3 linked regions of the Stegostoma tigrinum genome follow. The protein of the gene in region 3 interacts with the protein of the main gene of each other region in a pairwise test. Links are inferred from orthologs where the notes say so. Each region holds a gene or a part of one and is shown on either strand. Other genes may lie near its edges. The genes, in order: ca8, dnaaf4 and spdl1.

Region 1 (9,793 bases), on a different chromosome or scaffold from region 3:
TATTGCTGGACTGTTAATCCCAAGAGTTGGATAACATTTTGGAGACCCAGGCTTGAATCCCATCATGGCAATTCAATAAAATATATGGGATTACGAGTCTAATGATGATCATGAATCCATTGTCGACTGTTGGAAAAACCTACCTGGTTCACTAATGTCCTTTAAATTAGATTAGATTCCCTACTGTGTGGAAACAGGCCCTCCATCCAACAAGTCCACACTGCCCCTTGCAGCATCCCACCCAGACCCATTCCCCTATAACCCACATACCTCTGAACACCACAGGCAATTTAGCCTGACCAATCCACCTAGCCTGCACATCTTTGGACTGTGGGAGGAAACTGGAGCACCCAGAGGAAACCCACGCAGACACAGGGAGAATGTGCAAACTCCGCAAAGACAGTCGCCCGAGGCTGGAATCGAACCCGAGTCCCTAGAGCTGTGAGGCTGTAGTGCTAACCACTGAGCCACCGTGCCGCCCTTTAGGTAAGGAAACTGCCAACCTACCTGGTCTTGCCTACAGCACAGCAATGTGGTTAGCTCTGAACTGCTCTTTGAGCAATTAGGGATGGATAACAAATACTGTGTAGCCAGTGATGTCATCATTTTGTTAATAAGTAAAGAATAAGAAACCTTCCTTTACTGCAAACATTCAAAAGGAGATTGGACAGATTAGTCTGTGGACCCAAAACCAAGTTGGGGATGAGGTTTGGCTTTGGGAGTCATCATGGTTTCCTCAGATTGAATTTTCACAGCCCCTGAACGATGTGAGCAATGGTAAGTCATTTGGGCAAATACAAAAAGTTCTGCAAACGATAATTTTCAACATCATGGAAAGAAGTCTAATTTTCCACACGTTTGAATCTCACTAGTGAGCAGCGGGAGACCCATTTGCCTAAATATATATCTCAATAGTACCTAATCTCACCTCATTTATGTACAATTTCCTATTCTCCAAAGACACAGAACTAGATGGGGACATGAGGCATCTTGGATCGGCCATGATCCCACTGAATAGGGGAGTGGGATCAAGGGGCCAAATAACCTATTTCTGTTCTTCATGGTGTAAGTGTACTGGTCTCTGATCTGTGCTCCAAGTGAATGAGGTGCCTGCCTTGCAGCTAGTTTGTAAAACTACCACAATTAATTCTGAAGTGTTTATATTGAAGACATAACAAAGTCAATGAACAGGACTTTCGTAAGCATCTGAACCATTATTGTCTTTATGAGAAATGTCTTCACCTAGACAGCAGTGAACCAGTGGAACTCTCTGCCACAGAAACGAGCTGAACCCAAAACATTGAAATGTTTTCATGGGCGACAAATTAGAAATAGTTCTTAAGGCTAGAGGAATCAAATGGTGTGAGGGAAAAGCAGGGACAGGGAATGGAGTTAGATGATCAGTCATGATTTCTTGAATGATGGAGTGGGTTTGAAGAGCCAACTGACCGACTCCTGCTCCTACTTCAACATCCAAAGATCATAGACTTATTTTTAATTTCCACTCAGGAGCTTACAATTTATCAAGCATGTTTTTCTGTGTTGTGGAGTTCAATATATACTTACAAGCCACAAAATGCTCAATACAAGCCTGAATCTTGAAAGAGTTCATGACCATTTCACAATCAAAATCACTTCTGAAAGTTAATATTCGTTTGATAATAGGAAATTTTCTATATTGTGTTTAGTCGGTGTCATCTTCCAGTGGGACAGCATTGGGTAAAATTTAAACCAATGACGATCAATTCTGGTGTGAAAACTGGATGCAGATATAAATCCAATCACTCTCTTTGGAAAAACATACTAAATTAAACATACTGTTTCATCCAAGTGAGTGAAATGCCACTGAATGGGATTAAAAAAAAAGAACGTCCTCTAAACACAAAATACTGAAAGAACTGCTGATGCTGTAAATCAGAAACAAAAAGAGAAATCATTGGAAAAGCTCAGCAGATTTGTGGAGAGAAATCAGAGGAAGGGTCACCGGACCTGAAATTAATTCAGATTTCTCTCCTCAGATGCTGCCAGACCTGTTAAGCTTTTCCAGCAACTTCTGTTTTTGTTTCTGATTTAAGCATCAGTGGTTCTTTCAGTTTTTAATACAGTCCTGTTTATGCTGTGTTTTACACAACATTAATTTGCTGAGGAATCTGCTGAATGATAGCACAACAAAACAGAATAGATTAAACCCATCAACATAGGCAGCTTTCCTTTCACACCTTATGGGAAGAAGATCAAAATGATGCATTGAAGGAGACACACAAAGTCAAAAATAAACATTTCACAATCTGTTGCACAACCCAAACTTGGTTCATATTTTTACATACCTGATTTGGACTTCAGCAGTATCTGAATAGTGTGACCATCATTAATTACTTCAGAATCTCGACAAACAACATAATTTGGTGATAAACGTACTTCCAATAGTGAAGGGTCATACTTTGCCTCCCTGGAGTTCAGGTTTATCGGGGACTGATACTCTCCATTTGCTTCAGGAAACAACAGGCCCCATTCCACTCCTGAAACAGAGCAAATCACATTGATCAAGTGACCAACATATATATACCTGAATTCATACTTTTAAAAGGATTTTAAAAATGGCAAAACTAAAGCTAGATTCAAACGCCAAATAGAAGTTTTTCCTAAACTAAAGTTGAAAGTTAATTTTAACACTGAGAATATGAGTTTGACAGCTTACAAGTTAGCATATTATCAAATATCAGTTAAGCATCTCTGTTTTGGACTGGGGTGACTTAAAATGGTCTGAATAAGCCAAACTTTGCAAAATAAGTTCGCAAATTGGCTGACTGCCAAAAGAGAATTACTTCTAGGTATCAAGGCATATCTGTTTGTGTTAGATCCCTCACCATGGAAACAAACAAAGTTTTAAAATGCAAAGTTTAATTTTATATGCAAAAAAAACAAAGTTGCTGGAAAAGTTCATCAGGTCTGGCAGCATCTGTGAAAGAGAAAACAGAGTTAACGTTTCGGGTCCGGTGACCCTTCCTCAGAACGGCTATATGGCTTCTTTAATGAAGGAAATGCGTGCCAATGGTGGCAAAAATATCGCGTTTCCATTTGCACACTTTAAAACAAAGTTGTTCAGGATCTCACCTTCCTCATATCCCCATTCCAGACCCTCCTTATAGCCGTAAGGCCGGGTTTCCTCAATGAAGGGGCTGTCGGCCATTGAAAAGGCAGCTACTCGAATGAACAATCCCAGCTGCACTATGCAGGCTGCTCCGAGCTGTACCCTGGCCAAAACATGATGGTTATATAAACTACCGAGCAATCTAGCCTTTAAAACACAATTACACAAATCACTAATTCATTGGAAACAGCAATCTGACCAGTTGCCAAACAAATAGTGCCGCTCATTATCTGTCACCTTGGAAAAGCAGAAATGTCACGCTCCCAGTTTCTATCCTAACAATACGTGAAGCTAAATACACTGATACAAGTCCACAAATGGCTTCTGTACTGTGTAACTTAACATACAGTGTAAGTTTACATACTAAAACCACGGCTCCCCGACACCAGTGAGAAAGGGCGAGCTGTCATTTACTCCCCAGGTTTCAGTGAAAGCAGGAGGATCTGTCCAATCACACTAACCTGTCCAGCGGATTACCTCTTCCAATTTACAGAGTGGGGTCAATTTAGGGCTCTTCCAGCGAAGTGGCAATGTCCCTACCTCTGAACCTGGAGCAAAAACAGACGTTGCTGGAAAAGCTCAGCAGGTCTGGCAGCACCTGTGAAGAGAAATCAGAGGTAACGTTTCGGGTCCGTTTGTCCCCCCACCCAAGCCAGCAGGTCCCACCCGTGTCCTAATATCTCTGCCTAGGGTTTTATTAAGTTTATTCTTGGATAGTCTTTTGGACGATGTTAGCGTTTCGGGGACAGTGTCACTGAACAGATTAACAGGGCAGTTGGAAACGATAAAAAAAACCTGAATTCTGGTCGTTGATCAAACTGACCTATTTAACACGGCAGATTCAGACTGCAGGAGTAACTTTATCGCCCCATTTGCAAGGGAATATCTCTAATGAATTTTGCGAATGAATATCTCTAATGAATTGTGCGATGAATTTTGTAAAATAAAATGTAACTAGAAACTTGTATCATTCTCCCTAAAGTATAAATCCCAGTTATTTTTAAAACCCAGAATGATATTTATTAAGGGAGAAATGTCACTGAATAATCATCCTTTATGGCTTTACATCTCAATTACAAATGAAAAACCATACAGATTAAAACCTCTTCTCTGGTATTTTCTGAAAACTTCTCCCCCGTTACAAAGCGTTAGCTGAGGCCCACAGCAGGAAGTCTGAACAGCAACACTATTACACCGGAGACTACACCTCCCAATGCTTTTCAAAGTTTCTTGTTTTTAAAACCAAAATATTTGCAACGCACTTACCGGGACCTTCCCATTAACTGTCAAACAATACTCAGTAAAACTGTAAATCTGTCCTGAATGGTAATCCTGCCCCTGCTGTTACTCTCTGAATCTTGCGGTGAATTTACAAAGCATCTTCACCTCTCAAACTCGCGGCACCAAACAAGCTCATGTCTTTCTGATTTTGACTAAACTACATGATCCACGTCAGTGGGTGGTTCCACTCTAGAATCGCTGCTTCCAACAACTGAAGTCGAAAGAGCTCACACACAGTGCACATGTGCCACAACAATATGCAATGTATTGAATTTGTCTTGTTTACCCACACAGTATAGAATATAAATGCAATGTGAATTATTTAACTCAACTTGGCTCTTCTGGTCCTAGCGCAAAACATGCCCCAAGTTCATTGATTTCCGTATTTCTGGGGAAACTGAGGTATCATGAGGTGAGGGATGTGGAATCTGGTTGAGGTCCTGGAAGGTGCCATACATATAATACTTGCATCTGCACATTTAAACATCGAGTGCTTCATCACGCTCCCTGTCTCCGCCACACACACACACACACGCGCGCATATAACCTTCTGTGCAATTGCTCATGTTAATCAGAATTTTTATGGAACCCCGACAGTGCAGAAGTAGGCTATTCAGCCCATCGAGACTGCATTAACCCTCGCGTCCAGACACGTTCCCTGCAAGCCCCAATCCTGCATTTTTCATGGCGACTCCATTTAGCCTGCACAATTTAGCATGGCCAATTCACCTAAGTGGGAGAGGAAACCGGAGCACCTGGAGGGAACCCGCACAGACGCGAGAAGAATGTGCTAACTCCACATAAATAGTCACCCAAAGCTGAGAACTGAACCTGGGTCCCTGGCGTTGTGAATCAGCAGTGCTATCCACTGAGTCACTGTGCTGCACCAAGATTGATGACTTTAACAGAAGGAATCACAGTACTGTTATGATACTGAAGGCCACTGAAGACTTCATGTCTGTCTCCAAATGAATATCATAAACGTAAGCTATTCTCCTTGACCTTTCCCCTTAATACTGCATGTCATTTTCATTTAAATAATCATCTAATACTCTTTTGAATGCCTTTGTTGAACTTTTCTCTAACATACTTCTATATAGCATGGAAGGAGACTCTTCAGCCCATCATGTCCATGACAGTCACAAAGCACCTATCAGCTCTCATCCCTTTATCTCGCACTTGGCCCGTTACCTTTTCTGCAAAGGTGCTCCAAGTGATCATCTAAAAGCTTCTTAAATGTTGTGATGATTCCTGTCTCTACCTCAACCTGTACTATGTTTTGTTTCTGATTTCCAGCACCCACAGCTCTTTATTTTTGTCTACAGTTTTAACCATTGGCTTTGATTCTATTATTCATTCTATTAATCTGTAAAAACCGAAATGAGTTGCCTTTATCTGACTGTGCTCTTTCAGCTCTGTGCCTTTTTTCTTGTCATTTGAAAGCTGAGAATGCACAAAAAGATGGCATGTTAAGAATACCATGTAGAGATAGAAGATAAAGGGTCAAGAGTGATAGGTGCTTTGTGACTGTCATGGATCTGATGGGCCAAAGAGCCTCTTTTTATGCTATAAAATACCCAATAACTCTACGTTGTCCCACTACCTGGAAGTGTGTTGAAGAGAGGTTCTATCAAGCTTTCAAAAAAGTACGAGATGATTATTTATACTGGCCTGGAGAATGGTACAAAGTGGCACTTAACAGCAATCTGCTAGATTAACATGAGCTTCCGATACATTAAGGAGTGCCCCTGGGTTTAGCAAAATTGCTTGGGATAAACAGAAGTTTGATAATTCTGCAGTGATTCTCCTGGAGTTGTTTTACACCATGACTCCTTTAGTTTTAGATTACTGTGACAGGGTAACTGGGGATTCTCCTGAGACTGGATGGCTGACCTGACATTTGGCAGTTTATGGTGGAATGTGAGATGTAGCTGCCCTGATAGATTTCTGGGCAGGATTTTTCAAGGATTGAGACATTGACATCAAAGTTAAAAGAGGGTCCTGATCAGGACAATGATCTTGCAGTGATTTGCCATGTTTTGCCCAGAGAAGCTAATGTGAAGCTGGAGGGCCAACAGGGAAAGATCTTCAGTCTTGCATCTCAGATAAGAGAGAGAAAGAGTGGCTCCATACATGTTGTGGTACTCTCTCAGCAACTTTCATAACTTCTAAAATAAAATTATCACAGTTGCCTGGTCACCATAGTGAAGGGAGAACCCTGTCAGAGGGCAGTCTGTGACCACAGCACCGAGAGCAAAACCGTTGGAAGTAGGCCTCAAAAAAGACATGGAGCATTGACGTCGTTTGTTGCTGGAATTCTATCCCCAAGCAATGAGCTGTCTTCAAGCTACTGGTTACTCCCTCCCACCTTCATGCTGGTCCCCATGTGACAGTGAAAGTTCAGCCCTGGAGTCTGTTAGCAGTGTGCAGAAAGGCTGCAGGCAACAAAGCAATAGGTATTTTAATATTTTTACTTTTTATTGCGATAAGTAAGTTAATATTGAATGTGGTGTGTCGTAATTGGATCTGCAGGTGAACCTGTCTTTTCACACATCCTTAACATTCTAGCTGTCAACAAAACATGAGGGATAATTGTAGTGATTGTAATGGGATCAACCAGTTGGACATCATAGAATAGGAGTTCCCTGATTTGGGCTGTTAATCTTGCCCAATCAGGGAGCCCTGACTGAAGGATATAAACAGGAGTGACAGAGGTTCTGCTCATTTCTGAGATCTGGCTCTGAGGGAGCTGGATCAGTGTCAAGGACTTTCCAAGTGACAGGATACTGGCCTCTGTGGGGTTATTTCAGTGACGACAAAAGAGAAGCACCTTCCTGAAGAAATTCATCCACAACAGTCATCTTTGAGTTGGGGTAAGCATTTCTGGCATCATGCTGTTATTTGGAAAGATTGGCTTGTTCGATCCTGCCATTAAAGACTAGGCCCAATATGTGGAAATAGTGCATTGTTTGTTCCAGGCAAACGACATTGGGGCAAATGAAATGCCACAGGGAATTTTCCCAATAGCTTGTGGACCAGCAGCTCTTTTAGTGATTAGGAGCCTGAGTTTCCCTCAGGCATCAAATATTAAAATCGTTCAAGAGTTGACAGAATTAGTTAAGGAATATTACTGCCCCAAACCTCCACTAATTCTGTGTTGCTATTGGTTTTACTCTGCAGTTTGAGAGTCAGGGGAATCTGTACTGGGATTTCTTACTAGGTTAGGATGCCTTGCAGAAGTATGTGACTTTGGTTTAGCCCTTAAGATGCTGAGAAACTGTTCATTTGGTATGTGACATTAATGATGAAACATACAAAAGAGCCTAGTAGCTGAAGCTGAACTGGACTTCAAACAGGCGCCATAACTGGCTTTATCATTGGAAAATGCAACAAGTGGAGCAATGAGTTGCAGGGTATTCCAATGGAAGTGGACACCCCCACCAGGCTGACTGAGCTCAGGGAACACCACTTGGCTGAAGGCAATTGCATAGCCTCACTCAGGGAAGAATAAAAGAATAAATTGATTAGGGATAGTCAGCACGGTTTTGTGAAGGGAAGGTCATGCCTCACAAACCTTATTGAGTTCTTTGAGAAGGTGACCAAACAGGTAGATGAGAGTAAACAGGTTGATGTGGAGTATATGGATTTCAGCAAGGCGTTCAATAAGGTTCCCCACAGTAGGCTATTGTACAAAATGCGGAGGAATGGAATTGTGGGAGATATAGCAGTTTGGAACAGAAATTGGCTTGCTGAAAGAAGACAGAGGGTGGTAGTTGATGGGAAATGTTCATCCTGGAGACTAGTTACTATTGGTGTACCGCAAGGGTCAGTGTTGGGTCCACTGCTGTTTGTCATTTTTGTAAATGACCTGGATGAGCGCGTAGAAGGATGGGTTAGTGAATTTGCAGACGACACTAAGGTCGGTGGAGTTGTGGATAGTGACGAAGGATGCTGTAGGTTGCAGAGAGACATAGATAAGCTGCAGAGCTGGGCTGAGAGGTGGCAAATGGAGTTTGATGCAGACAAGTGTGAGGTGATGCACTTTGGTAGGAGTAACCAGAAGGCAAAGTACAGGGCTAATGGTAAGATTCTTAGTAGTGTAGATGAGCAGAGAGATCTCGGTGTCCATGTACACAGATCCTTGAAAGTTGCCACCCAGGTTGACAGGGCTGTTAAGAAGGCATACAGTGTTTTAGCTTTTATTAATAGAGGGATCGAGTTCCGAAACCAAGAGGTTATGGTGAAGCTGTACAAAACTCTGGTGCAGCCGCACTTGGAGTATTGTGTACAGTTCTGGTCACCGCATTATAAGCTGGATGTGGAAGCTTTGGAAAGGGTGCAGAGGAGATTTACTAGGATGTTGCCTCTAATGGAGGGAAGGTCTTATGAGGAAAGGCTGAGGGACTTGAGGCCGTTTTCATTAGACAGAAGAAGGTTGAGAGGTGACTTAATTGAGACATATAAAATAATCAGAGGGTTAGTTAGGGTGGATAGGGAGAGCCATTTTCCTAGGATGGTGACGGCGAGCACGAGGGGGCATAGCTTTAAATTGAGGGGTGAAAGCTATAGGACAGATGTCAGAGGTAGTTTCTTTACTCAGAGAGTAGTAAGGGAATGGAACGCTTTGCCTGCAACGGTAGTAGATTCGCCAACTTTAGGTACATTTAAGTCGTCATTGGATAAGCATATGGACGTACATGGAATAGTTTAGGTTAGATGGGCTTGAGATTGGTATGACAGGTCGGCACAACATCGAGGGCCAAAGGGCCTGTACTGTGCTGTAATGTTCTATGTTCTATATTCTAGGGCATATTCTGAACAGAGGGACCCTCAGTCAGCCCACAGCAAAACCCCAAACCAAAGCCAAGCCTTGGCCAAACGGGTAAAATTTTCTTCAGGATTTGGGCTGGCAACCCATTGTAACTGCTGCTGGTGTATGGACTCAAGCCAGCAAAAGAGTGCCACCAGGCCTGAAATGAGTAAGAGAACTCATGGGCTGGTAACCAGGAGAGAACACACCCTGGAAAGACCACCTACATCTGCTTTGAATCAGTTAAATTGCTTAGCAGCATCCAAATTACAGCCAATGAAAATAAACATCATCCAGTTCTAATGGAGATCGATACTGGCATGGCTGTATCAGTGATTGCAGAGCCAGTTTTTAACAAAAGCCACTCCGAGGACCAGTTGCAGATTAAGGGCACAACCTCCGTTCTGGTCTCTTATCAGAAGCAGCTGGTTCAGGTATCACTGATTACAGTAAAAGGCTTGGGCCCAAGCTTGATGGGGAAAAATTATTTGAGGCAGAATCACTTAAGTTGGCTCAACGCTTTTCGATTAGAAAATAGCTGCTTGAGTGAA
Region 2 (10,305 bases), on a different chromosome or scaffold from region 3:
TTCCATCCCCTCCCCTGTCTGCTTTCCGGAGAGACCACTCTCTCCGTGACTCCCTTGTTCGCTCCACACTGCCCTCCAACCCCACCACACCCGGCACCTTCCCCTGCAACCGCAGGAAATGCTACACTTGCCCCCACACCTCCTCCCTCACCCCTATCCCAGGCCCCAAGATGACATTCCACATTAAGCAGAGGTTCACCTGCACATCTGCCAATGTGGTATACTGCATCCACTGTACCCGGTGCAGCTTCCTCTACATTGGGGAAACCAAGCGGAGGCTTGGGGACCGCTTTGCAGAACACCTCCGCTCAGTTTGCAACAAACAACTGCACCTCCCAGTCACAAACCATTTCCACTCCCCCTCCCATTCTCTTGATGACATGTCCATCATGGGCCTCCTGCAGTGCCACAATGATGCCACCCGAAGGTTGCAGGAACAGCAACTCATATTCCGCTTGGGAACCCTGCAGCCATATGGTATCAATGTAGACTTCACCAGTTTCAAAATCTCCCCTTCCCCTACCGCATCCCAAAACCAGCCCAGTTTGTCCCCTCCCCCCACTGCACCACACAACCAGCTCAGCTCTTCCCCCCCACCCACTGCATCCCAAAACCAGTCCAACCTGTCTCTGCCTCCCTAACCTGTTCTTCCTCTCACCCATCCCTTCCTCCCACCCCAAGCCGCACCCCCATCTACCTACTAACCTCATCCCACCTCCTTGACCTGTCCATCTACCCTGGACTGACCTAACCCCTCCCTACCTCCCCACCTATACTCTCCTCTCCACCTATCTTCTTTTCTCTCCATCTTCGGTCCGCCTCCCCCTCTCTCCCTATTTATTCCAGTTCCCTCTCCCCATCCCCCTCTCTGATGAAGGGTCTAGGCCCGAAACGTCAGCTTTTGTGCTCCTGAGATGCTGCTTGGCCTGCTGTGTTCATCCAGCCTCACATTTTGTTATCTTGGAATTCTCCAGCATCTGCAGTTCCCATTATCTTTAAATGTAAATCTGATGCTTTTGACAACCTAGGGCCAATCACATTGTAAGAAATATTGATATCTCATCAAGGGTATAAAAGAAGGGGGAAATTGGGCAAAATCTCAGTGTTAACTGCCATCTACCAGAGCTGGCAGCACTCAGCTCTCAAGAGACAATTGTTGGCTCTCACAACCTCTTCTATGTCTTAGAGAAAGCATCATCTAGATAACGAAGTTACCTATTGCACAATGTCCTGACAGAAGAATCAATGGAAAAGGCACTCTTGACAGAAGAATTGACAGAGAAGGCTCAGAACATTCCAGAAGACATACCACCTGGTTGAAAGTTTGAGAGACTGATTTTTTTTTATATAACTGGGTCCTATAATTATTGGAACAGCATATCTTTAGAATCTTGCTTTATTCGGGAATAGTTGGTGGTTAGAGGTTTATTCAGTTTGTTAATAGTTTAGTTAATTTGTTGATTGTTAGAACTTAGAGAAGTAAATTGTTACTTGTTGACGGTAAAGTGAAAGTCTGGGATTTATTTTAATTAACCTGTAGAAGCTGCTGAAGGGCAGGTTACATGACTTTTCACACTGCTTTTACAGATTATAGAGTCAGGTGCTCCTCTTTCGGTGTTTTGGCTTTAGTTTTTAGAGGGTTTTACTTCGAAACAATGTATCTATTATTTTGTTAACCCTTTCCAAAGAGATACAAATAAACTAATACTTTTCTTTTGTGTTAATTTTGTTTGTGTCTGAATTATAGTGTAAAAACAAAAAGGTTGTTTTGCTTAAAGTTGAGTAGTTTGACCAATCAAATTGCATCTAGAATGCAACACATTATACTTACATTTAAAATAAGAAAAAAATTAGGTCTAGACTATCTTGATATATTTTCAGGGGGATTGGTTTGGTCCACAATACAAATTTATGAAAATTTCATTCCAGTTTAATCTACGAACTTTGAATCAGAATGCACCTCAACGAACCTTAAAGAATGTTTTAAGTTTTTCCAAAATTTTTAGTGATATATGTTGCAATGCTGGTGGGAAAATTAGAAATGAAAATTACATTGCCTCTTTATGGATTGCTAGCATAGAAAATGTCGATCTACCATCTAACAAGCATAGTTCAGATATAAAGTGAATGACTATAACTTTAGACAGTGGATGTAATCAGCAGAATGTGTAGGAGTGGCATGTGTTCTGTGAAAGAGAGAAGAAATGTTAATGTGTACAATTAGGTTCGGTAGAAGACAGAAGGTAGTGACTGCAGAGTAAATTTTGAGGAATTCCCTCTCCACAATGCAATTAGACTACTGGCCCAACCATAATAAGACCCTTCTTACAATTGACCCAGTTTTCATCATTGCTGGGTTTATAAATGTAAGATGTAACAATTAAAGTGTGAAAAATGGAGGCAAACTATCGACATAATCCAAACCATTCACCAGCATGTAATTTGCTCTCAGTTTGTATTCATGGGTAGTGTGTGTGGAGTGATACAGTATTTAACATTTGAAACAAAGTGACACAAAAGGCCGAGAGCCATTAATACAACAACCTTTTTGTATAACACTGAGAGAGACCTAATAAGGATAAAAGTGTATATGCAAATAATCTTACATTCTTTTAATTAAGAGATCGTATTACTTGAATGATTATCTCACATGACCACCACTCTATTTGATTACATTAGTCACATCTTTCACTTAAAGTTTTAAGTTTATAATTTGTAGCATTGTCAAAAAGGAAGAGAGTATGACAGAAAGTGTGGTAATTTGCATATGGGTGATAAAATCTTGTTTTGATGAAATCGCTATGTTTCTACACTTCAATGACACTGGCCACCTTGAACTGTGCACTTGAATATTTACTACTTCTCTAGCTTTATTGTGCAAATGGTTTGAATTCATACTTTTATACCAAATTATTCTGTTCATTTTAAGTAGGCAACACTGTTACTAAATTAACTATTTTAATAGTTTCTACAATAGTTACCTTCATCATCTTTTCCAATGAGTACTTTTCATTTTCTCGCTTTTTAACTGCCTTTTCTTTTGCTGCTTCTTGCGCCTTTTCCTGAGCAGCAAGTATTGCTTTCTCCCTCCTTTTCTGCAACTTTTCCTTACTAACTATCAAAGAAAAGTCAGTGTGATTATATGACACAAAGCCAAAACTAGTTATGCCTAACTTCAAGATTTAACATAACTATCAGCAGCAGCTCTGCTGGTGCAATTCACATCAATTTTAATCTTGTAGGATTCAACATAAAGCAAAATCTCGAAAATCATTCCTCACCTTCGGTCGTTGCAAGTTGCTCCCATATTCCCAATTCTTTCTTGCACAAGGTAAAGATAACAACATCATTGCCAACTTTAACAGAGCTTTTTGATTCATCAATGGAAGCAAATAACATTACCTCAAACAGAAATGGAGGAAAGTTCACCTGTTAAAGTAAGCAATTTAGAATCAAAATCTGGAGGCAAATGCAGGTTCACAATTCTAAAACTAGAAAAAATGTATAAATAAAAAAATTAAATATAGCTCAATAAATTAGCAATCTTTTTAGATGATTTGTGGATAAGGACAATTTTAAGTGTTTCCCCAGCACCACATTCAAGAGGTTAAAGGTCAGTCTGTGGAAATGAGTAGCTGCCAATGAGGCTATTAGGAACAAAAACCAAAGTTGCTGGAAAAGCTCAGCAGGTCTGGCAGCATCTGTGAAGAAAAAATTTCAGAGTTAACACTTCGGGTCCGGTGACCCTTCCTCAGAACTGCAGGAGCTGACAATGGGCTGTGTGGTAGCAGCCCATTCTTTGGGCTCTATCTCCGCCTATAGTTTACTCTTTCCCCCCTCCCCATCTTCTGCATAAATGTCAACCTTTCCTAACTACCACCAGTTCTGAAGAAGGGTCACTCGACCCGGGACGTTAACTCTGATTTCTTTTCACAGATTCCCTCCGCAATTGCCAGCAAATTATGTTACGAAAACAGTTTAATCATTTCACTTTTGAGGCTCGGAGACACTTTGGCAAGTGACTGGCCACAACTATATATGTTTTTCCCCCTGTAGGGCTTCTATGATCTATGAGACCAGAGGCAGCTCCTGTCCGCCCACGCCCACACCAACTTTCCAAACACGGGGCACAGCGCCCGTGTGAATCCCTCACCTTTAAATAATCCTCGATACAGAAAATGTCCGCTTTCCCAGCCCTCACTCCCTTCAGCGGCACCGTGATAAAAACCTGGCTCTCCACCTGGTCCCAAGTATAATCCCTAACCTGCAGCGGCATCTTTACCAACAGCCGCCCGTTGCTAAGCGACGCGCGTCCCGCTCCCTGGTCCTTCCGGCTGAATCGGGCTTTCGCTTCCGAAGCAATGAGTGACGGTTTCCATGGATACCCACCTCCCATTGAATCTCTGATTCTAGATTCTTCTTACAGTGCAAGACTTTTAAGGAGATATTTTATGGAGACGGTGCCACGAAGATGAATTCGATATGGTGCTGATGAAAATTAATTCAAATTAATATTCAGTTATGTAGCTAAATCAAACACAGCGTATACTGGAGATTTGAAACAAAAAAAACATAAAGTGCTGGAGAAACTCAACAGGTTTTTCCTTCTAGGTTTAATGCTAACACTATTGAAGTTAATCCCGCTGTGGGATCATGTTCAAATAACAACCGAAATCGGTGAGTGGCGAAAATAGCTTCTTTAATTAGCATCCACAGTAGCACAGTTTGAGGTAGTGATGGAAACCCAAGTTATAATAACCTCTTTACACACAATTCATACATAAATTAAAATTCTAGCACTATGGTGTTACATAATTATATCTATTGTACGCAGAAGTTTGCATGAAATCTGTCCTGGGGAAGCAGGTAAACATTTACTAAATGCTGGCTGTTACTCCTGATAGGATTACAGTGTCTGTCCAGTCTGTTTGAATAATTAAGAGGGCGAAAATCCACTGTATACCAGAGGTCATAAAACTTTTAGTTATTTCAGGGCAGTGACTTGAAAGAAATTCTGGGATTTGCATATTAATCTTTGCTGAATGATTAAAGATTTGACAGCCATTTTAGTTCAATACACTCGAATCAGTCCTACGACCCTTTGATCTTTTGCTTATAAATTCTGTGGCTGATGCCACCTCTCCCACTGACACCTAAAGAAGGACCAAGACTCCAAAAATAATAATGGGAACTGCAGATGCTGGACAATCTGAAATAACAAAGTGTGGAGCTGGTTGAACACAGCAGGCCTAGCAGCATCTTAGGAGCACAAAAGCTGACGTTTCTTGCCTAGACCCTTCATCGGAAAAGAGGGAGGGGAGAGGGTTCTGAAATAAATAGGGAGAGAGGGGGAGGTGGATGGAAGATGGAAAGAGGCAGCAGAAAAACTGCTCAATGTCCTAATGTGACTGGTATTCATTGATGTGTGGCTGTCTCCTTTGGCAAGAGAGTTGCAGTGGGAGAGAAATCCCCTGAGGTTTGTCCAGAGGGAAGAGGGTAACTTCTACAAGTTAGACATCCCTGGAAGAGGTAACTGAACAAGTTACCCTCCTCCCTCTGGACAAACCTCAGGGGATCTCTCTCCCACTGCAACTCTCTTGTCCATCTTCGATCTGCCTCCCCCTCTCCCCCTCCCCCTTTTCCAATGAAGGGTTTAGGCCCGAAACATCAGCTTTTGTGCTCCTAAGATGCTGCTTGGCCTGCTGTGTTCATCCAGCTCCACACTTTGTTATTGCAAGACTCCAAAAGCTAGTTTTCAAATAAACCTGTTGGACTATAACCTGAAGTTATGTAAATTTTGACCTTGTCCACTCCAGTCCAACACTAGCACCTCCACATCATAATTAAGAGGTGTTAGTCCTTTTATCTTTTAAGGTAGTAAATGTTAGTAAAAAATACTAGACATAAACAAACAAAATAAGTTAGAAATTCTACATGTACTTAATAAAAGTGTAGAGGAGAATAAACTGAGTACAGCAGCTGGGCCATGAGATTTTATTTTCTATTAGTGGGTTTGAAAGTTCTTACACATTCATTCATGCAGTTTCACAGAAGCGCTGTTTTGATGGTAACTTTCTTAAAGGGGATAGTGGCCCTGATTACTGTGTATTTAACAGATACATTCTAGTGGAGAAAACTTTTGATGTTCTGTAACCTATTCAAGTCCCCAGAGATGGCTGCTAAAGGGCTGATTAATATTATAATCTCTCCATAGTTTTGTGTGAGTCATGGAGACATGATGGCGGGAATGGCATTATTTTGAATAGGTTACAACATTAACGCTTAATCAGGCATAGCCTTTGGTATAGAAACAGATCTAATCACTGCTTGTAGCATGGGGCTGATAAGGATTAAAGATGTAAAGAAGCAGTAATGGTTTGGAAGGGATGTTCTAATTTAGTCCAGCTGGTAATAGTAAGATGTAGTATAAAACCACAGTTTTATGAATGAATGAATGAATGAAAAGAGGTAGAGTAAACAATAGTGCGCTGTTGAGTAGTTTGTAAAAAAGTTATGAATGAATGAGAACACGATATTAGTAAATATAGAGCATTTGTGAGTGCGTTGGTAAAGAGACCTATAATGCAATATCTCACACCCTCCTGCCAAACAAACTGTTCAATGGAACGGTCAGGCTGTAATAACATTCGAAAAGCACAAGGAAAATGTTTTATGATTTTTTTGGGCATAGATGTGATCACTCTACTAAAAGCAAAATACTGCAGATACAGGAGATCTCCTTCTGCCAGAGGAGAATCATGTTAAACTCAAATAGTTAACTCTGTTTCTCTCTGTGTGTAAATGCTGCCAGATCTCTCTTCTCCAACACTTTCTTAGACTGGTTAACAAGGTTAGATCACATGTGTGACATTTTTTTTGAAGAGAAGTTGTAAAGGCAGCAGTGCCAAAGTGGCTACAGGAAATGGCCCAAGTTAACAATCAGAGGAGGCCTTTATAACAATGGAAGGGGAGTGGCCAGTTCGCCCAGGTCAGGTTTTCTAGATTTTTAGCGGTAGCAGTCAGAAGCTGTTTGGGTCCCAGAAGGGTTGGAGCTTCAGTAAAATGATTCCTAGTTGTTACATTCTCTGAAATGACTTGCTGTTGTTTCCACCTGGATTGGAGAGTTGCCCATAAGAATCTGTGTCTGAATTTTTGCCAAGGGGTGTGCTTATTGCATGTTACTGTATTGGAACAGTTAATTAATAATAGATATTGAATCTTATTCAATTAAGTTTTCCAGTAGTTAAGTTATTCTAAATTCCTTTTTCTTTTTTTTTAAATGTAGTATATAAATAAGTTGTGTTTTGCTTACCATTTGAGTGGTTTGACCATTTGCATCACATCTAGAACAAGCATTTGACATCTACCCTTAAAATAAGAAAAAGTTCAGGTGTAAGCTACCTTCTTAAAATGCCTTGAGGGGGCCTGGTCTGGTCTGGTCCATAACACATGAATACACAGAGACCCAGCCGTTTGGTTGCAGAACTGGCTCGAATGTTGAAGGCAGAGGTTGGTGCTGGAGGGTTTTTTTTCAGCCTGGAGACCTGTAACCAGCAGTTTGTCACAAGGATCGTTTGCTGCCTTTTGTCATTTATATCAATGCTTTGGATGTGAACATAGGATGTATAGTTTGTAAGTTTGCAGATGACACCTAAATTGGAGGTGTAGTGGACAGCAAAGAAGGTCATGTGAGTACAACGGGATCTTGATCAGATCGGCCAATGGGCCAAGGAGTGGCAGATGGAGTTTAATTTAGATAAATGTGTGGTGCTGCATTTTGGAAAGGCAAATCAGGGCAGGACTTATGCAATTAATGGTAAGGTCCTGGGAAATGTGGCTGAACAAAGAGACCTTGGAGTGCAGGTTCAAAGTTCCTTGAAAGTGGAGTCGCAGGTAGATAAAATAGCGAAGAAGACGTTTAGCATGCTTGCCTTTATTGGTCAGTGCATTGAGTATAGGAGTTGGGAGGTCATGTTGCAGCTGTACCAGACATTGGTTAGACCACTTTTGGAATACTGCTTGCAATTCTGCTTTCTCTGCTTTAGAAAGAATGTTGTGAACCATGAAAGGGTTAAGAAGAGATTTACGAGGATGTTGCCAGGGTTGAAGCGTTTGATCTACAGGGCATTTGTGAATAGGTTGGGGCAATTTTCCTGGAGCATCAGAAGCTGAGGGGTGACTTCATAGAGTTTTATAAAATCATGAGGAGCATGGATAGGATGAATAGTGAAGGCCTTTTCCCCGAAGTGGGGAAAAGTTCACAACTAGAGGACATAGGTCTAAGGTGAGAGGAGAAGAGAGGAGCAAGGTTCAAAAGAGACCTAAGAGGCGACTTTATAAGCAGAGGGTGGTACAATGTATAGAACAAGCTGCTAGAGGAAGTGATGGAGGCTGGTGCAATTACAACATTTAAAAGGCAGTTGGATGGGTACATGAATAGGAAGGGTTTGGAGCGACACGTGCCAAATGCTAGCAAGTGGGACCAGATTTGTATAGGATATCTGGTCAGCATGGACAGGTTAGACCAAAGGATCTTTTTCCTTGTTGTACAAGTCCATGACTCTATGACTCTAATCATTCTGTCAACCTGAGACTTTTAACAAATCTCAAATACATTTCATAAACATCAAAATAACCTGTTCTATTCTGGGTCATGCTCTGTCAGATTGAGTGATAACATAAAGATGTTGCAGCTTCACGTCAAGTTGGGATTGAGAGAAGCTGCAAGGTTGACCAGGTTGTGATAAGTAGAATTATCAGAGTTTTATCTTTATTTTTGTGACAGCAACAAGATGGTTAGGCCTCTGGTTTTATACCTGACAATTCATTACGCGTGTTAACTCTGCTTACCCAGTATCAGATTTGAACCACAAGTCTTATTGCTTGGTATTCTTAAAGCGCCATGGTTGAGCCTATGGGAAGAACTGAAAGTCGAAATTATTATTTGTTTGTCAGTCACTATATGGGACCGTCAGGGATTCGCTGGCCTATCAAGATAGGCGGGTGGACAGAAATTAGCTACCCATACATCCTTCATCTGAGACACTTCATTGGGATTGAGGTTGACTTGCTTCTGATACCTTCAGTGCACAATCTGCAGACCCTTTCACATGTGCCCAGGTGATATTTGCAGGAGTGGGTAAATGGATGGTTTGGATATTCATGCAGTGTCTACAAGGCTTTGCATCTGCATGTCTCCATTTTGCTCTGTCACTAGCCTGGGTCTCCCAATATTCAGAAGGTCTCCTCACAGATGTTTGAAACCATCCTTAAAGCTCTCCTCTTAGAATTTCTTGCTATGACAGCAGTGAGTTTGCAGGGAAACAGTTGCTTTTGAGTGGGCCCTCTGAGATAAATCCACGCTGTGTCACTCCATCATGCAGGGACAATGATCCACTCAGCACACCCTCATGTCCAAATAACTGCTCTGGTATCCAAGGAGAAAGTGGTTAGGGTTCAAGACACAGCAACAACCTGATTAAAAATTGATGAAAAGCATCTCTCAATTTTTAAAATACTTTTTAGAAAATACTGTCTTTTGGGGCTAGGAGTTTTGAAAGAGGAGCTTCTGAATGGGGGGTTATGTGGAGGTTTGGAAAGAGGGGTGTGTGTATGTGTGTGTGAAAGTATGGGGGAGAGGAGAGGGCTAATTACACAGCATATTGAGAGGCGGGGTGACAGAGAGCTCTTCACTGAGTCTTCTGTCACTAGGGAATATGAAGAATTGAACTAAATCTGCACAAGTACATGAAATAATAACATTCTTATGAAGTACTTGATAAATGCAGATTTCCACATGTATATGCTGAACTATGTTAATGACCTTAACAGGGCCATTTGGCCCAATCAGTTTGTTCTGCTATTCATTCGCATCTGGTTGATTTGATAATCTTCAACTCTACTTTCCTGCCTTTTCCCCGTAACCCTTGATTCCCTTTCTGATTAGAAATCTGTTTATCTCAACTGAATGACCCAGCCTCAACAGCCCTATGTGGTAAAGAATTCCATTGACTCATTGCCAACTGATAGAAGCAATTCTTCCCCATCTCTGTTCTAAGATAATAAAATGTGAGGCTGGATGAACACAGCAGGCCCAGCAGCATCTCAGGAGCACAAAAGCTGACGTTTTGGGCCTAGACCCTTCATCAGAGAGGGGGATGGGGTGAGGGTTCTGGAATAACTAGGGAGAGTGGGGGAGGCGGACCGAAGATGGAGAGAAAAGAAGATAGGTGGAGAGGAGAGTATAGGTGGGGAGGTAGGGGGGGATAGGTAAGTCCAGGGAAGACGGACAGGTCAAGGAGGTGG
Region 3 (10,548 bases):
GTGAAGTACCTTGTCAAATATCCTTTGGAAGTCCACTGAGATAGCAAGAACTGCAGATGCTGGAGTCAGAAATAACAATGTGTGGAGCTGATAAACACAGCAGACTAGGCAGCACCAGAGGAACAGGAAAACTGATGTTTTGGGTCAGGATCCTTCTTCAGATTCCCCTCCTTCTATTTTGAAGAAGTTTCAACCATTCTAATAAAATTGTCAGATATGATTCTCTTTCATGAAGCAATGCTGACTCTGTTTTGATTAGACTATAATTTTCCAAATGTCCTGCTATTACTTTTTCAAAATTGTTTCCTATACTTTCCCAACAGATATTAGGCTAATCAGCATATAGGACATAGAAAAGTACAGAAACAGATCCTTTGGCCCACCATATCTTTGCTGACCATAATGCCATTCTAAACAAATCCCATCTGCCTGCAGTCAGATTAGCAGTCATCCAATCATCTGATACTTCTCCATGACCCAAGAGCTTTTGGAAAATTACAACAATGCATCCACTATCTCTGTAGCTACCTCTTATGGGATCCTAGGATGGAAGCTGTCAGGGCTAGGGGACATAACTGCCTTAAGCCCCATTATTTTGTCTAACACAACTTCTATCCCGTATTTTTTAATTTTGCTCCACCATAAAAGACTGATGTAAAATATCTGCTAAACTCCTCTGTCATTTCCTTGTTTTGATGCACTCTGAATTTGTTGTAGCTATCATTTTCAAATTTATTAATCCAATCAACGTGAAGATTAAAAAGAGATTTTTTTTTAACATGCTCCTACTATTTGTTGATTACAGCCTTTCCCACAGACATCTTATCGTTTGGAGGAGTGGACTGCAGACCCCAATGTCTTTTTTCCCTTACTACTTTTTAACCTTTGCCCAAATAAACTTGACATCATCCAAACCCACAACATTTCTCAACTGTCCTCATTCCATTTCTTATCAATATCTTTCCATTCTCCTATCCCTCTGAAAGAAGTAATATCCCTGATTGAGAACTTCCCAGTTTGGATCTCCTTGGAACTATGTTTGCCGAATGGCTATGATAACGTATTCATTTACCTTCATTTGCACCTCCAAATCGTGCCTTATTCCAAAGGCTTTGCGCATTAAGATATGGGGAGGCAATGGCCTAGTGGTAATATTGCTGGGCCATTAATCCAGAAACTCCGGAAAATGTTCTGGAGGCCTGGGTTCAAATCCTGCCATGGCAGATAGTAGAATGTGAATCTAATAAACATCTGGAATTAAGAGGTTAATGACTCACTAACATCTTTTACTTCAGTGGTGGGCAAATTATTGGAAAGTGCTCTGAGACATGGGGTTTATGATCACTTGGATAAGCACAATTTGATTTGTGAGGAGTAGATCATGTCTCACAAATCTTATTGAATTCTTCAAAAGAGGCGACCAAACACATGAATGAAGGTAGAGCAGTGGATATGGTACACATGGATTTAAGTAAGGCATTTGATAAGATTCCCCATGGTAGGCTCATGCAGAAAGTAAGGAGGCATGGGATACAGGGAAACGTGGCAGATTGTCTTCTATGGCTCAGCCAATTCTGAATCCAAAGGATAGTAGTGGATGGAAAATATTCAACATTGTACTCAGTTACAAGTGGTGTACCACAAGAATCTGTTCTAGGTCCTCTTCTATATGTGATTTTTGTAAATGATTTGGATGTAGGAGTGAAAGGGTGGATTGGTATGTTCACTGACGATACAAAGGTGGGTCGAGTTGTGGATAGTGCAGAGGGCTGTTCTAGGTTACAAAGGGATATTGATAGGATGCAGAGCTCTGGGCTGTGAAGTGGCAGATGGAGTTTAACCCTGAAAAGTGTGAGGTGATTCACTTTGGAAGGACAAACTTGAAAGCAGAATGCAGGGTTAACGGAAAGATTCTTCGCAGTGTGGAGGAGCAGAGGGTTCTTAGGGTTCATGTCCACAGTTTCCTGAAAGCTGACACCCAGGTGAATAGAGTTGTTAAGAAGGCATATGGTGTGTTAGCTTTCATTAATAGAGGGATTGAGTTCAAGAGCCGTGAAGTTATGCTCCAGCTATACAAAAGCCTGTTCGGTCATATCTGGAGTACTGTGTCCAGTTCTGGTTGCCTCATTACAGGAAAGATGTGGAAGCATTGGAAAAGGTGCACAGGAGACTTACCAGGATGTTGCCTGAAACGGACATGAACTAGGGCTTTTCTCTTTAGAAAAACGAAGGAGAGGTGTCTTGATAGAGGCGTACAAAATGATCAGAGGTATAGATAGAGTGGGCAGCCAGCAGAGGTAGATATAGGGGAGATGTCCAGGATAGGTTCTTTACTCAGTGTGGTAGGGGCTTGGAATGCATTGCCAGAGATGCTAGTTGAGTCAGTCTCATTACAGCATTTAAATGGCTATTAGATAGACATATGGATGCTAGTATAAAGGTAGTGGTGGAGGTTAGATAGACCTCAGCTTTAGGGTAAAAGGTCAGCACAACATCATGGACCAAAGGGCCTGTACTGTTCTATGACGCCCATGAATCCATTGTTGATTGTTGGAAAAACCCATCTGGTTCACTAACGTCTTTGCGGGAAGGAAACTGCTTTCCTTACCCGGTCTGGGCTACATGTGATTCCAGACCCACAGCAATGCAGTTGGCTCTTAACTGCCCTCTGGGCAACTTGGGATGGGCAATAAATGCTGTTTAGCCAGTGATACCCTCATCCCATGAATGAATGAATAAAGAAAATAAAAAGCAGTACATTTGTTCCATTATTGAACTTCCTTACAACTTTAATGATTTCTCAGTACAGTATCACATTTTCACATCCAAGCCCTTTTATTTTTTGGTGACAAATCGACCCCACCACTAAACTATGTCACACTTGTTGTTTGGGATGGGTCAGTGGTGGTGGTCGTCTCAGGATGTAAGCAGGTTTGTCCTCCAAGGTAAGGAGAAACGGAAGCATCTCTCTCCCCTAGTGCAACTCTCTCGTAATCTCTCCCCTCTACAGGCTCCATCCCGCCCCTTTAACTTGCCTGTCTCTTCTCCACCTTCGATTCACCTCCCCCTCACTCCCTATTTTAGAGCCCTCTCCCCAACCCCCTTTTCTGATGAAGGGTCTGGGCCCAAAATGTCAGCTTTCCTGCTCCTAAGATGCTGCTTGGCCTGTGTTCATCCAGCTCCACACTTTGTTATCTCGGAAGCAACTGTTGCCAATATTAATAGCAAAACAAAAGTGTCCTCACACCGGCTGGTGATAGGAATCCGAAGTCTTTAAAAGAAAAAAATTGCCTTTTCGAAAAGGCCAATTTTAACAGGTTTGATCAATTTAGCTGAACACATCGAATTTCCAAATGCGGAGTAGAGGACACCGAATGAGCAAATCGTGCAATTCTAAAAAAGATACGCTGACACGACACGTGATATCGAACACGCAGGGCAGCAAATAAGATTACATGTTATTGGTGACCTGATGGATATTTGTCTGCTAAGTCTGTAGCAATCTTGATGAGACAGTTTATGCACTTAATTTTCTCCTGTCTCAGTTCATCCCATAATCCGCAACGCAGTTTAATCTGATACCACTTCAACTGCAATTTAATGGTAGCTTTCCGGTGACCTGCGAGTCTCCTTCTGTCAGCCTCCATTCCTCGCTAATGCAAATTGACAAGTTATTGTTTCCCCATCACAAAAACAAAATTGTCACTGGCTGGGAGACATTAATCGCAAGAACTATATACCTGCAATTATATACCTGCAATTAGTTTCTTTCCAAAGAAGATTTTTTTCCCCTCCCAAAGTATAAATATAATAAAGAACAAGATGAAAATGAGCGTACAACGGATGCCTTGTATGCACTGATTACAGGCAAAGGCTTAAACGGTTGGAGGGGTGTGGGAAAGAGGGATTTGCTGACCCGGTTATTCGGAGCTGATAGCGATGCGCGCGGAGACAGGCCGTGAATCCCAATCGGCTGTGGGTTCCCCTGGCAACCCGCCCCGTGGCGGTAAAAAGGCCCTGTCCGTGGGCTGAAAGCGACAGAAGCGGCATCAAGCGACCGTATGAGCTGCTCTTTGGCTGTTCAAAGTTGACCGAAGAACGTCGGACAAATTGACCACTTCCTCCTTCCTCCCCCCGCAAAAAAAATAAAAGATTTTTACCCTTCTCCAAAGGTGTTAGTTTCTCGATGCAATTTAAAGCCCGCCGCTCCTCTCCTTCTAACCTTCGCATACACGCCGGCTCCGCATCCACTCCGTCTCCAACGTCCCGCCCCTCAGTGCAGTTTGAACTCGGCACGCGCCCACACAGCCAGCCAATCGCTGCGCACCAGCTCCCAACCGCCGCCGTCACCAACACCCAGCAGTAGCTATAGTCAGTCGCCGGCAATGGTACCCTGCTGGAGGCGAGTAAATACGTACATGTGAAGTTCGTTGATTGATTTATGCCCCGAATCGTATTGCCGCAGCCCATAAAGTTCTTCGGAAGTATAATAACCCTGAAGTAAAGGAGGAGCCAATTAGCGCGCAGCAAGCTCCCACAAACAACAAACCAAATTATCCGTTGAGATGCTGCTTGGCCTGCTGTGTTCATCCAGCCTCACATTTTATTATCTTGGAATTCTCCAGCATCTGCAGTTCCCATTATCTCTTATCCGTTGCATGTTGATTGAAGGATAAATACCAAGGCTTCAGAAAACACCCGTCCTGGTTTTCAACAGTGCTACACAATCTTTCACGTTTTTCTTAGAGGGCACCTGGAGTCATGGCAGACAGAACTTACAGTAGTGTTACATTCGCTATAGTTACAGACTCCCGTTATAATTTTAACACGATCTACTTGCTTTTCTGCTCCACACACCTGTTACTAAATGCTGAGTTGCTGAATGTTTTATTAACTATTCAAAACCTTCCACCGTTTGCTGTATACTTCAGGTCCAACAGCTCTGCAACTCTTTAGAATTCTATATTTTCCTTTATTCATTCATGGGTTATGGGCACTGCTGGTGAGGCAGCATTTATTGCACTTTCTCTCCCTGAATGACATTAGTGATCCAGATGGGTTTTTCCAACAATCAACAATGTATTTACAATCATTGTTAGACTCTTAATTCCAAATTTTTTAAATTGAATTCAATTTCCACCGTTTGTCGTGCCAGGATTTGAACCCGGGTCTTCAAAATACTATTTGAGTCTCCAGATTAACAGTTCAGTTGTAATACCACTGGTATGGTGTAGTGTCGCCACTCTGGTGCCATCTTAAAACACAGAAAAATAAACCAAAGCATACAATATAAAGGTAGAAAAATCAAGAAAAAGTGCTCAAAATGTACAGTCCTTCTTGTTAAGTGCTTTGTCGTGGGCACCGGGATTAGTGGCCAGGCACTAGTTGCCTTCGCTGCACTGATGCTGCTAGAATGAAATTCGCCACTTGTCAGCACCATCTTGCCTCCACTGAAGCACTCACCAATATGAGTCTTCAATGGATCTTGTGAATGCAGATGCCACCGGACACCACACTGACCCAAACTCAACTCTGCCAGCATCATGAGTCTACTTCCGGCCAACCTCGCCATTGCAGCAGCTGCTGATGTCATCAGGTGTCATAATGGATCCAATCTTGTTTCCTCTGCTATCTCCACAAATCTGGGCCTGATGCATTCACTGCTCAGAACCCAAACTCACCTCCTTCACAGCAACCATGAGTCGGCTCAAGGAATGCCTCAACAATGTTGAAGCCACTGGGAACCCGAACTCGCCACTGATGCTGCTGCCATGAGTCCACGCTGCTGCGTCTACGCGGCCCACTCACTGCTGTTGACATTGTCACCATGGCTGAGCTCTTCAACAAGAAGTGTATAAAAAAAGGGAAAGAAATGAGAGGAGAGGAAAATATGAAAAGCAGGTGAGTCCTGGGCTCAGAAACCCTACTCCACTGCCATCTTACTGGAAGATGTGTGTCAGTGGTAAGCCTGCCATCAAGCAAGGCAGCTAAGAACATAAAGGTAGAAAGAAGGAGGTAATGGATTGAAAAAGGAACACAAAGCTTTCATTCCTGTTACAAACCAATTGCCTTCACAATTGATATATTTCTGTTATAACAGGATTCCAGTGCACATATTTAATTCCCTGAATAAATGCCATAAAGCTCAATGAGAAATCAGTAAGGCATTTGATAAGGTTCCCCATGGTAGGCTCATTCAGAAGGTCAGGAGGAATGGGATACAGGGGAACTTAGCTGCTTGGATACAGAATTGGCTGGCCAACAGAAGACAGCGAGTGGTAGTAGAAGGAAAATATTCTGCCTGGAAGTCAGTGGTGAGTGGAGTTCCACAGGGCTCTGTCCTTGGGCCTCTACTGTTTGTAATTTTTATTAATGACTTGGACGAGGGAATTGAAGGATGGGTTAGCAAGTTTGCAGACGACACAAAGGTCGGAGGTGTCGTTGACAGTGTAGAGGGCTGTTGTAGGCTGCAGCGGGACATTGACAGGATGCAGAGATGGGCTGAGAGGTGGCAGATGGAGTTCAACCTGGATAAATGCGAGGTGATGCATTTTGGAAGGTCGAATTTGAAAGCTGAGTACAGGATTAAGGATAGGATTCTTGGCAGCGTGGAGAAACAGAGGGATCTTGGTGTGCAGATACATAGATCCCTTAAAATGGCCACCCAAGTGGACAAGGTTGTTAAGAAAGCATATGGTGTTTTGGCTTTCATTAACAGGGGGATTGAGTTTAAGAGTCGTGAGATCTTGTTGCAGCTCTATAAAACTTTGGTTAGACCGCACTTGGAATACTGCGTCCAGTTCTGGGCGCCCTATTATAGGAAAGATGTGGATGCTTTGGAGAGGGTTCAGAGGAGGTTTACCAGGATGCTGCCTGGACTGGAGGGTTTATCTTATGAAGAGAGGTTGACTGAGCTCGGTCTCTTTTCATTGGAGAAAAGGAGGAGGAGAGGGGACCTAATTGAGGTATACAAGATAATGAGAGGCATAGATAGAGTTGATAGCCAGAGACTATTTCCCAGGGCAGAAATGGCTAGCACGAGGGGTCATAGTTTTAAGCTGGTTGGTGGAAAGTATAGAGGGGATGTCAGAGGCAGGTTCTTTACGCAGAGAGTTGTGAGAGCATGGAATGCGTTGCCAGCAGCAGTTGTGGAAGCAAGGTCATTGGGGTCATTTAAGAGACTGCTGGACATGTATATGGTCACAGAAATTTGAGGGTGCATACATGAGGATCAATGGTCGGCACAACATTGTGGGCTGAAGGGCCTGTTCTGTGCTGTACTGTTCTATGTTCTATGTTCTAAATCATTAGCACAAATGTGTAAGTTTACCAAAGGAATTAGGAACACCCTAACTTTAATGCTGACTCAACCTATTTTAGCCAGGAGTGGGAATAGGGTGTTGATATTGTTCTCAGCACCACTGAATAAAGCCAAATGAACTAGACTTCTTTTTCATGATTGATGTTCAATAATCCCTACGTTTCTCAGGTGGGAGGATCAGGCTTAGTTCTAGTGTCTACATTACCTTTAGTAGAAGAGTATGCTGGACTCAAAATGTTAACTTCGTTTCACTCTGCACAGATACAGCCAAATTTCTTGAGTTTCTCCAGCACCCTCTGTTTGTTTCTTATATTACTCTTTGGCTTGCACTTTAAAAAATGATTAAGATACTTGAGTACATGCTGTTTGCAGAAGTATCAATCACAGCAGAATAATCAGCTGAAAAGACTTATTTACATTTATGCCATTCAGGATTTCAAAGGTTTGTTTTAGGTCTGTTTTATGTCTGTTTTTAGTCTTTCCATTTAAAAGATATAAATTTAGCTCTGAATTTCTGGTCAGTTGGGGCCTTTAATCCCAGAATGACTGTCTTTCTTCTATAAACTGTTTAAAGACATCAATAGGCATTTGATGATAGGCAGTCAAACATCACAGTAAATAAACCGGTAATATGGCCTCATCAATGACATACATGATGCCATTGCCAGGCATCCCAAATAGATCTAAATTAAACTCATCTGGCATATAAGCTCATAATAGAGCATCAGAAGATCAGGGTATAAATCAAGAAAATGGAAGGATTTGCTTTTAAATGAAACAGATATGCATAAAACAACTCTAAAACAACTATAATGTTGTTACCCTCCTCCCTCTGGACCAACCTCAGGGAATCTCTCCATCTTCGGTCCGCCTCCCCCTCTCTCCCTATTTATTCCAGTTCCCTCTCCCCATCCACCTCTCTGATGAAAGGTCTAGGCCCGAAACGTCAGCTTTTGTGCTCCTGAGATGCTGCTTGGCTTGCTGTGTTCATCCAGGTCCACACTTTGTTATCTCTGAAACAACTATGACAGATTAAAGCGAGTGATCTGTCATACTTCCTCGGTCATATTGCCTGGTCCACCTGTGTTCATCAATGGTGTCATGATGGTATTCAGATGGTCACATCATTCATGGGATGTGGGTTTCCAAGGTTAAGCCAGTGTTTATTGCCTATCCTCAACAGCCTGTGAGAAGGTGGTGGTGAGCTGTTTTCTTAAACAGCTGTAGTCCAGGGGGTGCAGTTACACCCATGTACACAGCCCTTCAAAGAAGGGAGTTCCTGGATTTTGACTGAGTAACAAAGAAGGAACATTAATATAGTTCCGAGAAGGATCTATGACTTGGAACGGAGCTTCAAGGCGGAGTTGTTTCCATGCATCTGCTGTCATTGTCCTTCCAGATGAAAGATGTTGCAGGCTTGGATGGTATTGTCAAAACAGGCTTGGTGAGTTGTTGCAGTGCAAGTTTTAGGTCATACGCACTGATACCACTGTGTGTTGATGGTGAAGGTTTGAATTTTGTAGGTAGTTAGTAGGGTGCCAATGTCACAGTGCTGCATTGATCTAGATGGTGTTAAGCTCCTTGAGTGTTATTGGAGCAACATCTACTTTAGTGAGTGGAGAGCATTTCTTCATAATCCTGACTTGTACTTTGTAGATGCAGCCTGGCTTTGGCGAGACAGGAGGTGAATAACTCACTTGAGAATTCCTAGCCTTTGACCTATTCTCGTATTAATGGTTTTTCTGTGGCTAGTTCAGTTCAGTTTTTGATCGATGTTAATGCCCAAGATGTTGATAGTGGGGCATTGCCTTTGAAAGTCAATGGGAGATGGTTAGATTCTCTCTTGTTGGAGATTATCATTGCCCAGCAATTATGAAGGGTGAATATTACCTCCTAGGTTAACACAATGAAGGAGGAAGTGTCGGGTGTATTGAAATACATTAAAGTATACAAATCCTCAGGGCCAAATTGCATCTATCCCAGGCTACTGTGGGAGGAAAGGGAGGAAATATCTGGGGCCTTAACAAATACCTTTGCATCTTCTTTGGTCTCAGACGAGGTTCCAGAGGACTGAAGAACAGCCAATTTTATTCCTTTGTTTAAGAAGGGAAACAAAAATAATCTGGGTAATTACAGGCTAGAGATCTGATGTTAGCGGTGGGGAACCTTTTGGAGAATACATTGAAAGACAGCATTTATTCACATTTGGAAGCAAATGGACCTGTTAGTGATTGATAGCATGTGTTTGTGCAGGGAAGATCATGTCTCACCAACTTCATTGTGTTTTTTGAGGTGACAAGGTAAGGGCAGTGGATATTATCTGCATGGACTTTAGAAAGGTATTTAATAAGGTACCTCATGGCACACTGGTACAAAAGTTAGGAGTCTCATGGATCCGGGATGAGGTGGCTAGACGGATACAAAACTGGCTTGGTCATAGACGACAGGGAGTGGTGGTGTAAAGGTGATTTTCAGAATGGAGATCAGTAACTAGTGATATTCCACAGGGATCGGTGCTGGGACCTTTGTTGATTGTAATGTACAAAAACGATCTAGACGAAAATGTAGCTGGTCTGATTAGTAAGTTTGCGGATGATACCAAAATTGGTGGAGTTGCAGATAGTGAGGAGGCTTGTCAAAGGATGCAGCAGGATGTAGATAGATTGCAGATTTGAATAGAGAAATGGCAGAGTGTAATCTGGTCAAATGTGAGGTAATGCATTTGGAAGATCAAATTGAGGTGCGAATTATACAATAAATGACAGAACCCTTCGGAGCATTCACATACAGAAGTATCTGTATCCGTCCACAGATCCCTGAAAATGGCAACACAGGTGGATAAAAACTGAAAGAACTACGGATGCTGTAAATCATGAACAAAAACAGAAGTTGCTGGAAAAGCTCAGCAGGTCTGGCAGCATCTGTGAAAAAAAATCGGAGTTAACATTTCAGGTCCGGTGACCCTTCCTCAGAACTCAGAACCATTCTGAGGGAGGGTCACCGGACCTGAAAGCTAACTCCGATTGTTTTTCTTCACAGATGCTGCCAAACCTGCGGAGATTTTCCAGCCATAATGGGAACTGCAGATGCTGGAGAATCCAAGATAACAAAGTGTGGAGCTGGATGAACACAGCAGGCCAAGCAGCATCTCAGGAGCACAAAAGCTGATGTTTCGGGCCTAGACCCTTCATCAGAGAGCGGTCTAGGCCCGAAACATCAGCTTTTGT

Evidence for each region.
Region 1: the proteins of spdl1 (region 3) and ca8 interact in binary tests that used the Homo sapiens proteins (3 or more experiments, as listed by UniProt). The two-hybrid records come from large-scale screens. The link is inferred for Stegostoma tigrinum from reciprocal best matches to the Homo sapiens genes SPDL1 and CA8.
Region 2: the proteins of spdl1 (region 3) and dnaaf4 interact in binary tests that used the Homo sapiens proteins (3 or more experiments, as listed by UniProt). The two-hybrid records come from large-scale screens. The link is inferred for Stegostoma tigrinum from reciprocal best matches to the Homo sapiens genes SPDL1 and DNAAF4.

Annotation. Positions count from the first base shown.
Region 1 is NC_081358.1:35,205,928-35,215,720, reverse strand, and holds the start of ca8 (carbonic anhydrase-related protein), read right to left. Parts: upstream 4,621-9,793; 5' UTR 4,418-4,620; intron 3,750-4,417; 5' UTR 3,613-3,749; intron 3,538-3,612; exon of another isoform or gene 3,516-3,537; intron 3,255-3,515; 5' UTR 3,191-3,254; coding exon 3,115-3,190; intron 2,520-3,114; coding exon 2,328-2,519; intron 1-2,327. UniProt on the Homo sapiens protein: Does not have a carbonic anhydrase catalytic activity.
Region 2 is NC_081386.1:15,451,432-15,461,736, forward strand, and holds the start of dnaaf4 (dynein assembly factor 4, axonemal), read right to left. Parts: upstream 4,312-10,305; 5' UTR 4,277-4,311; coding exon 4,154-4,276; intron 3,430-4,153; coding exon 3,282-3,429; intron 3,116-3,281; coding exon 2,982-3,115; intron 1-2,981.
Region 3 is NC_081364.1:15,282,101-15,292,648, reverse strand, and holds the start of spdl1 (protein Spindly), read right to left. Parts: upstream 4,274-10,548; 5' UTR 4,161-4,273; intron 1-4,160. UniProt on the Homo sapiens protein: Required for the localization of dynein and dynactin to the mitotic kintochore.